Caenorhabditis elegans: one gene and its partner. The protein of the gene in region 1 interacts with the protein of each later gene in a biochemical or structural test. Each region holds a gene or a part of one and is shown in the gene's direction. Other genes may lie near its edges. The genes, in order: sprr-2 and mihp-1.

The links.
Region 2: of the proteins of sprr-2 (region 1) and mihp-1, one has a biochemical effect on the other in vitro, tested with the Caenorhabditis elegans proteins (2 studies listed by BioGRID, with this or other methods).

What each region holds. Positions count from the first base shown.
Region 1 is NC_003284.9:14,798,023-14,804,954, forward strand, and holds sprr-2 (Sex peptide receptor-related protein 2), read left to right. Parts: upstream 1-2,097; 5' UTR 2,098-2,145; coding exon 2,146-2,233; intron 2,234-3,136; coding exon 3,137-3,237; intron 3,238-3,281; coding exon 3,282-3,454; intron 3,455-3,499; coding exon 3,500-3,625; intron 3,626-4,060; coding exon 4,061-4,142; intron 4,143-4,191; coding exon 4,192-4,289; intron 4,290-4,866; coding exon 4,867-5,049; intron 5,050-5,167; coding exon 5,168-5,252; intron 5,253-5,298; coding exon 5,299-5,427; intron 5,428-5,472; coding exon 5,473-5,552; intron 5,553-6,002; coding exon 6,003-6,213; 3' UTR 6,214-6,335; downstream 6,336-6,932. UniProt on the Caenorhabditis elegans protein: G-protein coupled receptor for the neuropeptide like protein nlp-38. Plays a role in several types of aversive gustatory associative learning including gustatory plasticity and salt avoidance learning.
Region 2 is NC_003279.8:13,400,634-13,404,661, forward strand, and holds mihp-1 (MIP-1-5), read left to right. Parts: upstream 1-1,814; 5' UTR 1,815-1,854; coding exon 1,855-1,879; intron 1,880-2,557; coding exon 2,558-2,664; intron 2,665-2,712; coding exon 2,713-2,840; intron 2,841-2,924; coding exon 2,925-2,981; intron 2,982-3,099; coding exon 3,100-3,145; 3' UTR 3,146-3,471; downstream 3,472-4,028.

The sequences.
Region 1 (6,932 bases):
CCACATTAGTTATCTTTTGCGGTTATCTATAAGTCCGTCCATCAAACTGATATGATATGAGGAATAACTTATCACTTTCTTTTTTCTTCTAACTACGTCGATGAAAATAAATTATTCAAGACGGAGACTGAGAGCAGGAGCTACGGGAGGGGGGGGGGGGGGGGGGAAGAAAGTTCATTTCTTCCTTGAGATGCCCAAACCAAGTGAAGGGGAGGTGGATATTAATATTTTTCAATGCGTTTTTCGAATTTTTGAATCAATTTTTTTCAATAAGTTTCGAGTGTTTTGAGGAGAGTTGTTTGAGTTTGCCAAAAGTCTTATGTTTTGCGAGATTATGTTTTCGAGCTCATACCTTATTTTTAAATGATTTTTTGAATTTCCTCAAAGTACACTTCTCGTTATTCCCATCCCCACTATTTGCTCATCAATTGAAACGAAAAGCCTGGATCAAAGTGAAGCCTTAATTGAATCCAGGGCTTTTATCAAATTATCAGATGACACACAGCCATCATCACACTTTCATTAAAAACCTATTCACAAAATAATATCCGGGTTAGAATTGAAAACTTCTTTTTTCATTTTCACTTGCCTACACGAACATCCGGTTTTTGATCCATAGTGCCACCACAAAAGCTCACAAACTTATGTTGCATGTGGGTTTGCTAGCTCCAGGGAGCTATCAAAAGAGCTATAGACAGTCTGGACAATAGCAAACCCTATTGCAATTGTTGGTTTTATATATGTTAACAACAAAATCCCATTTGTTTCTGTTGCAACTTTCTAGAAGATAATTTTAAAATCTCGAAAATGCCTGCATCCTGGATGTTTCGAAGAAAGCCATTTCTAACACGCAGGTCTACTCAACAATTCTTCACAAAAGTAGAAGCAGCTAGAACTTTTGAGAATACTTTTGAAATATATTGACCTGACGCACCTGACGCGAAACGTAGTGAAATTCATATTTTTGAGTGTTTGATCTATTTTAGTGGCTCTAAACTTTTATTGGCGTTTGATATTTTCTAAGTCTTTGTTTTATTTTATAGGTTCTTCAGTCTTGGTAAAAGCTAGTTTAAAAACTAATTTTCAAAAAGAAATTAGCAGACATTTCATTTGTTTTAAAGTAATTTGATCAAAAAATTAAAAAAAAATGACACGCCTTTGTTCCTTGTATGAAATAAAATGTAAGGCTTCTATGAGCACATTACGAGAGTTTAATATCAAGGTCAGAAACATTTTTCCGTCACAAAAAAAATTGAAATTGATGGATTTTGTACTTATTTGAACTTTTATTTTTATTCTGCTCAAATATAAGGATGAAAGTGCATGAAACCTGGGGGGCACTTTTCATAGTAGCATTATTTTTTTGCCATTATGCTATTTTTTGACCATTCTGAGTTTGTGTCTAATATATAAACCAACTACAATTATTTATTGTCATTTTTATGCTAAACTACTTACGAATTACATATTCTGACATGTTTTACAATTATCAGCATTTGAACATTTTACGGGACCGAACTTATCTAGGAACGTTGGTTGTGTTCTATTTTGCATGTCTATTTTTTTTTGGAATATTTTTAATGTACATATTTAGACAAAATCCCTACTGGCGCAACACCATTTTGGAGTATTTAAGCAGTTCTCAAAAAGTTAGCAATTTTTTTTGTTCATTCCTCAATTCCTTCAAGGAATAAGAGATTCTTAAAAAGTGCACCGGTTTTTGGAATCTCATGCCCATCCTTACTTTCTATTTAATCGCAGTGTAGTCACGCGAAAAATCAATTGGCTCTATTTCTTTTTTTTTCTGGATGAATGACAAGAAAGCGAATAAGAAAAAGAAGCGGGATGAAAAGGAGACAAAGCTTGATGTTTCTGTGCCCATCTCATGAAATTACGTGTTTCAATTTTGCGGACCAAGGTTTCTTCTCCTTGACCAACTTTTTGCGGTTAACGCTTTTGTTTGCCTTTGTGCCTAGGACCCTTCTCAGAGACTAAATTCACCCGTCGCTTCCTTCATTTAAATTTTAGATCCCCCCTTAACCCTATCCTATTTATTTCAAGCTTATCGAACTTTGTGACTTTGATCCCAACTTTCAGGAAAACACTATATTCAAATCGTCATGAGGTGGTGAAATTGTGGAGGGCATGAACTACGAAGTTTATTGCGGCAATGCGCATGCAGAGCCAAATAGCTCAGCAGTTCAACAACTTGCAGAAGCATGTGTTGAACAAGGTGAGTATAAAGGAAATTTTTACAAAGTCTAAAATTAAAACCGTACAAGTAAACCTAAAAAAAGGTTCAGCCCAATATTAGATTGGTCAGCGCCCATTTACAGTTGCATTTAAATATGTATAAAAGAAATGTGCAACAATGAGCGCTAAAAATTAAAAAAAAATTTGAAGACTTTAGCTAATTTCATTTTCTATAATACTTCCAAAATGTTTTCCAATACAAAATAAAATGAGCATATTGAATAAAACCGTTAAGAACTTTTTAAACAAAATTTTTGATATTTGGTTATTGTCCCAGTTGCTGGAAATTAAAGGTGGAGTAGCGCCAGTAGGAAAATTGTTAAAAACCACTCCGTTGGTCCCGAAATGACCAAATATCATGATAAAATTTTTTATTTACTGTCAAAAAGTGGCAATTACTCAGTTTTTGCCACTCATAATTTTGGAAGTCGGCCAAAAATTTTTTTTTTCGACATGGTTTATGTTTTAATTTTGTTTGAATTAATTGTAATAAAACATTGTAAGAGTCGAAATATGCGTCATCTCTTTAAATTTCCTCAAAAGCTCGTATTTTTCAAAATTTTGGCACTTTGCCAAATCTTTGAGCGGAAATTATGAAAAATCTAAAAATTTTTGGAGTGTTTTATTTTGATATTCGGTTGTTTTGGATCATTATAAGTGCATTTAGACAAAATCCCCACTGGCGCTACTCAACCTTTAACTTTGATTAAATTAATACTTTGAATTTTTTCTTCTTATTTACAGACATATTCAAGTAGACACATTATTAAATTCAACATTTTTGAAATATTTTTTGGAATATTTAAAACAGTACAAATATTTAGTTACTTTGTTAATTACTCCACCTATAAAAACTCGATTTTTTCGAAATTAAAATTTTCAGACGCGTCTTATTTTGATGGTTGCTCGAGAACGTGTGTGAAAGACAAGTATCTACTGCCTCTGACACAATTCGACAATTTAGAGATTGTAGTTTATGGGCAGGTTTGTGATATTCTTTTCAACTTTGCCACACTGAAATGATTCAGATTTTCCCAATTTTGGTGCTTTTCGCAGTTTTTGCGAATGCGGCTGTTGCGCTAGTTCTATCGAAGAAGCACATGATCACTCCAACTAACGTCGTTTTGAAGTACATGGCTATTGCGGAACTTTTAGTGGGACTCGTCCCACTGCCCTGGACTCTTTTCTTTTTTTCAATGGGGTGAGAGCACTTGTCGAAATGTCATAAAATGCAAATATGATTCAGGAATATCAAAGAAACACATCGGTTAGAGTTATGGTGGTGCTATCTACAAAAGTACAGTATGGATGCGTTTCCTCCAGTTTTCCATATGATTGCCATGTGGTTGACGGTACTTCTGGCGGCACAAAGGTGAGTTTCTTTTTTAATATTTCATTTTTAATGAGCATTGTGATCTCAATATACGGAATATAACTGTAAAATAGTAATAGGATCGTTCGAAATTTTTCAAATTTCTTTCAATTATGCAACAAAAAATCCAAAAGTTCATATTAAGTTTGTATTCCCGCACAAATAAATTACTTGGTTTCAAAATTGCTGCATTCTAGGTCTGGACGTATAATTTTTTATATCGAACGTTTTTTAGTTGCAAAATTGAAAGAAAATTAATTAGAAATTTCTCAGAAATTTCTAACAGTTTCACAGTTTCTTACAGTGATTTGGTTGGCACATTACGTTTAAATTTTGAGCATTGTATAGAAAATGTTTCGAATGTTTGAAAGAGAGTTTAAACAAGTTCAAACTCCAGGTAAATAGTGTAGGTTCAGCCAATTAGACAAATTACAGATACGTCTCCATAAGTCATCCATTGCATTCTCGATCCGCGTGTAATGTAAAAAATGTTCGATTAGCAACAATGATCATAACTGTAAGAAATTTTTTATTGATTATATAAAATTCACTTTTTGGGTTTTCAGGTCACATCTTTCCTTTGTGGACTTCCAAAGTCGTTTGATTATGAGTATGAAACAGTTCACGGATGGATTTATTCGCATGGTAACTGGACGTATGCAAGGTAAAATATTCGAATTTGAGTATTAAGGAATTAGGACTGGGAGATCAAGTAATGTTAGAACGTAAAGAACTTTTCTTACAGTAAGTTTTAACTTTTTCTTACAGTAAGTTTTTTAGTTTCATGTTGGCTTGAAATTGGGCTTTGAAATTTTCTTAATCGCAGACAAAAGTGAAATTACCAAGACCTATCAATTTTGGAAGTCGAAAAAATTACGTATTTCTATTATTATATGTATACAAATTCTAGGGGTTCAAACCTTCAAAAGTGCTTGAAACCTCTTGAAAAGCGGCAGTCAACTGAATTTTTTGAAAAATCTAAGGAATTTCACGTTGGACCTCTCAAAGATAATTAATTCAAGTTTACCCAGGACGGTGCTCCACTTTTGAAATTTTGTAATTTCCAAAAGTTCAAACTTATTTTCCTAGTATAATATTTCAAATAACACGCGGTTTTCTAATATTATGAAGTTGATTGAAATTCGGCATTTTGTGAATCACTCAAATTTTTTTTGTTGATATTTCATTGGTGTGTCTCAAAAAAATCCCACCAACTCCCCACTTATTTTCTCAAATTTCAGCAGTTGCGTCATGATGCCTACAGCGATATTAACCAATATGGGGCAAACTGTGTACTTTAATATTTACTTCTGGACACGTGCGCTCGGCTTCATTATTTTGCCAAGTTTCCTACTTGTCCTGCTCAATGGCCTTCTCATTAAGGGTATTAGAAGAGCGCAGCGGCGGAAGCTGCGATTGTTGAGGTTTGGTTTCAAATTGTGGCTACCTTGGGAAAAATTTTGGCACTTTGCCAAAACTTTGACCGGAAATTATGAAAAATCTAAAATTAACAGAACATGTTAAAAAAAAGCTTATTTTCAGAGAAAAACGTTCCGAAGAAGCTGCTCGGCAACGAGATAGCAATTCGACAAGCCTTATGCTAGTTGCTATTGTTTCAATTTTTTTGGTAAGTATTTCAAAACCCGCTTCAACCGAAATGCATCACTTTTCAGATTGTAAATTTGCCGCAGGCTATATTTATGGGCCTGCTTTGTGTCTGTGAGACGTTTACAATTAAGATTCCAATATTAGAAGGAACTTTCCCTGCCGTGTTTCTTATCGCTAGTAATATGATCGTTATTGTAAGTTTGGAATTTGCGTTCTGATTTTTGAAGAACTATTTAAAGGCTACTTATCCCATCAATTTTGGAATCTACTGTTTTATGTCAAGCAGTTTTCGACAAACTTTCAAATTGTTGTTTTGTCCGTAAGTTTTTTTTAGTATTAAAAACTCAATTTTATTAAAACTTTATTAAAATGGTTCAAGTAATTTGATTTCTGATCAGTGCGCAGCTTTGTCGATTTATTGAAAATTGAAAGTCGTATCTATAGCTCAGTCGGTAGTGGTGGCCGCTAGCAAACTGGAGGTCACGAGTTTAAGTCCAGCCTCACCCCTAGGTTCACCCAGCCTTTATTGGGAAGTAGAGCAATCCACAACTGGACTATCGGCTACATATATCGGCCAGACTTAAGTTACAGCCCAGTCTGAGCACCACCAGGCAGTGTACCTGAATCCCCAATCCGCAATGAATAGTTTTCTTTGAACATATATCTATGTATATCTTTAAAATTTATTGCTTTGACTTATAATTAATGAATTCAACGTTGAAAAAAATGGTATCAAAATTTATTCAAGATGAACTGTTCCACTTTTCAGTGGCGCTAGTCAACTCCAATGCGAACGGCGAATCGAAGCTGCAAGTGCCGTACATTCCAGTCGTCGACGTTCCGACATTTGCTCGCATTTGGTGAATGTTTGCACAAACTCTGAGGGATTCATGCAAGTATCCCATCATTGTCTGCACGTCGATTATCTTGTATCGGATAGGCAGTCGACTCAGTTTACAACGATGGATAGGAGTGATTAACTTGTTTTCTTTTTTTTTCTGCAAATTAAGATGTTTGAACATTGTGAATAACTTCGCCTAAATGTGAATTTTCTTTTTAATTTTCTTTTTTTTTACTTCGAAATAAATGCATTTAAAATTTGTATTCATAGTTCAGAAATAGCAAACGTATTTTAGTTTTTTCAAACCAAAAAAAAACATAAAGAATCAAAGCGACAATAATTTTTATTCTACAATTTTGGTATGGTACATGGAAAATACGCTCTACCGCAGTACTATTTAAAATGAGTCTATGGGACGAATTTGATATTACTCAATTGGTCTTTTGTATTTCTACATATGTATAGATTTATTCTGATTGTATTTTCTCTGTTTCCAGCGCGACGAACTCTATTTTATTAAATAGATAAATAAAAAAAACAAAATATTTTGCTAGTTTTACATTTTTCAATAAAATTTTTAGTTTGAGTTAATTCAACCCATTTTCAGAAAATTTTGAAAAATGAAATGAATGCATACAATTTTGGAAAATTTAAAGGTTTTTTTTTGCGTACAAAATAGGAATAATCGACCCGGTGTGAAATATGTTTGCAATGTGGCCGACCACCCCTACCACACACACGACAAACATGTTTCCGTAGCCTGTTCTTGTTCTACCGCACGGGGGTATAGCTCAGTGGCAGAGCATTCGACTGCAGATCGAGAGGTCCCTGGTTCAACTCCGGGTGCCCCCTAAATAC
Region 2 (4,028 bases), on another chromosome or scaffold:
GTGGTGAAAAAAATCTGAAGTTTCTGAAAATAGAAAAAAATTGCGAAAAAAAATTATTTTCACAAAAAAGTTCACAAAACATACTCTTATAAAAATGCTTTTGAAGTAATTTTATTTTCTCTAGCCAAAGACAATAAATTTCAATTTTCGACCTTTGGAAAAAATGCGAAAAAAAATCGAAAAAATCAAGATAAAAATTGCAATAAATTTTCATTCCAAAAATCCAGCTTCTCATAGATATACAAATTTGCTCCCTTGCCCCTGCCGATTTTCCATATCACTATATTCCATCTGAAATTCCCATGAGAACATTGTCTTCCTTCTTGCTTCTGCTATTTCTGCTGACGTATACAAAAAAAGTAGGCGGAGTTTGGAGCCGGGTGGCTCTTGGCTCATTAGCTCATTTTGAACAAGTTTTTGAAAAAAACTGGAGAAAAAAGTTATTGGTTTCAGGAAAGAAAGTGTTTTTACTTTTGAACTTCTTGAGTTTTGGTGCTTATTTTTCTACTATTTTTACTTTTTTTGGTGACTGCTGAAGCCAGCTGGAAATTTTTGGAACTTTTTCCTAAAAAAACTATCTTGTCCGCTTTTCTCATTTTGGTCCAGAAATTTATATAGCTTTTTTTACAATGTTTAAAATAACCTAGACCAGTGTACCTACCTAGTCGAAAGTTCCAAAATCATTTAAAATGGTTCTTATTAAAAAAAAATGTTCTGTGAGATTTTCGAGCTTTCTAGAATCCCCTATAACGAGAAATGTTCAAATTAGGCCAGAAACTGCATGATTTCGAGATGGTGTAATTCTATAACTAGAAAAGCTACCAAAATTGTCTCAACTAACAAAATATGTAAAAACTTATGGTTAACATTTTGTCAGTAAATTTTTTTGATTATGTGAATTCTTGGCAAGTTGGAGTCTTTTAAACATAACCTCAGTTTTTTCTCAATTTCTTTGTTTAACACTTGCACCAAAACTATCGAAATACAATTTATGCGTCTAGTTTAGATTTTTTCATTTTTTTAAAAGATTTTTAAACGTAAAAAGTTACTGATGCAGACGATTTTTCAAAAAAAAAATGTTACTCACTCTGCAAATTTTCAGACCTATACTCACACATCTAAAACAGGGGTGTGCGGCAAATTTGCCGAATTTGCCGTTTGCCGAGTTCGGCAATATTCAATAAAGTGGATTTGTCGAATTTGCCGAATTTGCTGTGCTCGGCAAATTTTAAGATTTGCCGCACATCCCTGATGTAAAAATACTCTCAAAATCCCATCGAATCTAAATAATTCGTATTACTTCCCACATTCGTACCGATCGTTGTCTGAGGTTGCAGCGCGGGGGTTTAGCGGAGATTACGGACCGCCCGTTGTTGTTAATTTCAGAGTTCTAAGACACTTCCGGTGTTGTTGTGGAGTTTGAGCTCTACAAGGACTCATGACGTGTTGGCGATTGGGGAAAACATGAAAACTGGAACGAACCTGTAAAATTTGATGTTGTACATTTTTCCATTTTTTGTAGTTGGCAAATTTTTTCTGAGACAAGTAACTGTAGAGATACACGGAGTTAAAATTGAAAGAAATAGGTGGAGACGCAGATAACAAAACCAACTATTTGTCTGCATCTCTCAGCCAGACACTCTGCGCATCTGCGCCTCGCTGTGAGCCACACTACTTTTCTGCGTTTCGCAGCAGGCCACATGGTCTCTCTCTCTCTCTCTCTCTCTCTCTCTCTCTCTTTTTCTAATTACTTCCCATGTACTTAACATTTCTCTTTTGACATCAGTTCTCACACCAAATTCCATTTTTTTCCAGGGTCTACAAAACAAAAGAAGGCGCAAAAAGAAAAGAAATATGCAGCTGATACACTTTATTGTTGGTAAGTGAATGTGCTCCATTGGGACCTTTGTTCCCCTTTTTGACACATTGTCGGCCACATGAAAAATGAAATGTGGGTGGAAACTTTTGTTACCAACTGGCCAGGGGAACCAGAAATAATTTTTTCTTGTGAAAACTATATTTAGACTTTTTCTTGTTTTTGATAAATTGTTTTTTGTTGGATGAATTTTGGAAATTTACGTTCAAATAAAAATTAAAGAAAAAGTTTAAAAAATATTCCCAGATAAAAATCTGATTATTTTGCCAGTATACAACTATTTTAAGAAGTTTAATCCGCTGTTAAAATACAATTGTCAGAAGTTTGTCAGAGACGCAGACAACGAGACAACCTGCGTCCTCTTGCCTCTCTGTTCTCACACTGTCTTTTTTAATCGATTGTATCTCTGTAACCGCTAGAGCTAACAAAACGGTTTAAACTGACAAAATACTGTACATTTTAAGCTGATAATTTTGTCAGTTGGAAGTTTTTATGTAACTCTTTCCACAGCAGAGATATGAGCGTTTAGTGTGGTGCGAGGAGGAGATGCAGACAACTAGTTATATTAGACAATAGAGTTATCAAAAAACTACCAACCAACGAAATGCTTAAATTTCCATTTTCAATCGTTTGAGTTTATTGAACATTTCAAATCTGTTACTGCAACCCCAGAATTTGCAGGTTTGGCAATGCTCATCTCATTGAGTTTGGCGGCTTCAGACGATCGTGTGTTGGGATGGAATAAGGCACACGGATTGTGGGGTAAACGGTCTGTTCAAGAAGCGTCGGTTAGTTCTCGGTAACATCTTGGCAACACACAACATATTTTCTTGCAGCAAGACAAGAGAACCCCTCAAAATTGGAACAAACTGAACAGTTTATGGGGAAAACGGTCTGCTTCTTCGTTCGATGACGATTACACAACTGAAAACGGAGATGATGACGTGACGATGTTGTACAAAAGGTGAGCGGGAATTCAAATTTATTGTTAAAAAATGTACACAGATCTTTTTTTTTTTTACTCTGTGAATTTCAATAACCATTACAGGAGCAATTTGAGCCCTCGATTTCTGGGCAGGATGACGTTTGCGAGAATTCCAAAAATGTATTAATTACTGATTTTATTTTTCGAAAACTTTAAAATTTGCCACGCTTCTTTCAGTTTAAACTTTTGCTCCATTAGCCATTGATTTGTTCTCGAAATTATTGATATTTTGTTCCAGATCACCAGCTCAATGGCAACGTGCCAATGGTCTTTGGGGAAGATAACTTTAAAAAAGTTGAATTTCCCGCCAGCCCGCCAACACTTCCATGCCAAATTCCACCGCCATCACGATACTTCGAAGTTAAAATTTATTTTTCATCTCCTTTTTCCTACATTTTCCCTATTTTTGTGCTTTTTGTCCTAAATTATTGAGGTTTTTTGAAATTTTTTGAGATCGTCACTCTTCAGTTGAAAATTTTTGTTTATTAAAAAAACATTTTGTGTCTACACCCTGCTTGTATTTCTTTTCTTCTTTTTCAAAATCAACATTATTTGTTCGCCGGATTTAAATATTTCACTTTTCCAACAAAAAATGAATATGTTTTTCGTGTTTTTAAACCAACAAAAAAAATAATTTGCACCAAAATCGGGTTCTGTAGTAGTACTGTAGGATTTATGTAGGGTTACTGTAACTTAGAAAAATTGAGTTTTTGCCCTTCGAAGAGATATCGGATTCGGAATTGTGGGGGACTAATCTATTTTTTCCTATGCCAATCTATTTTTTACGAAGAATAGATTAACATACCAAAAAATAGATTGGCATACGAAATATAATAATTTTAGGTGAATGGTTAGAGTCATAATTTTAGGTGAATGGTTAGAGTCATAATTTTAGGTGAATGGTTAGAGTCATAATTTTAGGTGAATGGTTAAAGTCATATTTTTAGGTGAATGGTTAGAGTCATATTTTTAGGTGAATGGTTAGAGTCATATTTTTAGGTGAATGGTTAGAGTCATAATTTTAGGTGAATGGTTAGAGTCATAATTTTAGGTGAATGGTTAGAGTCATAATTTTAGGTGAATGGTTAGAGTCATATTTTTAGGTGAATGGTTAGAGTCATAATTTTAGGTGAATGGTTAGAGTCATACTTTTAGGTGAATGGTTAG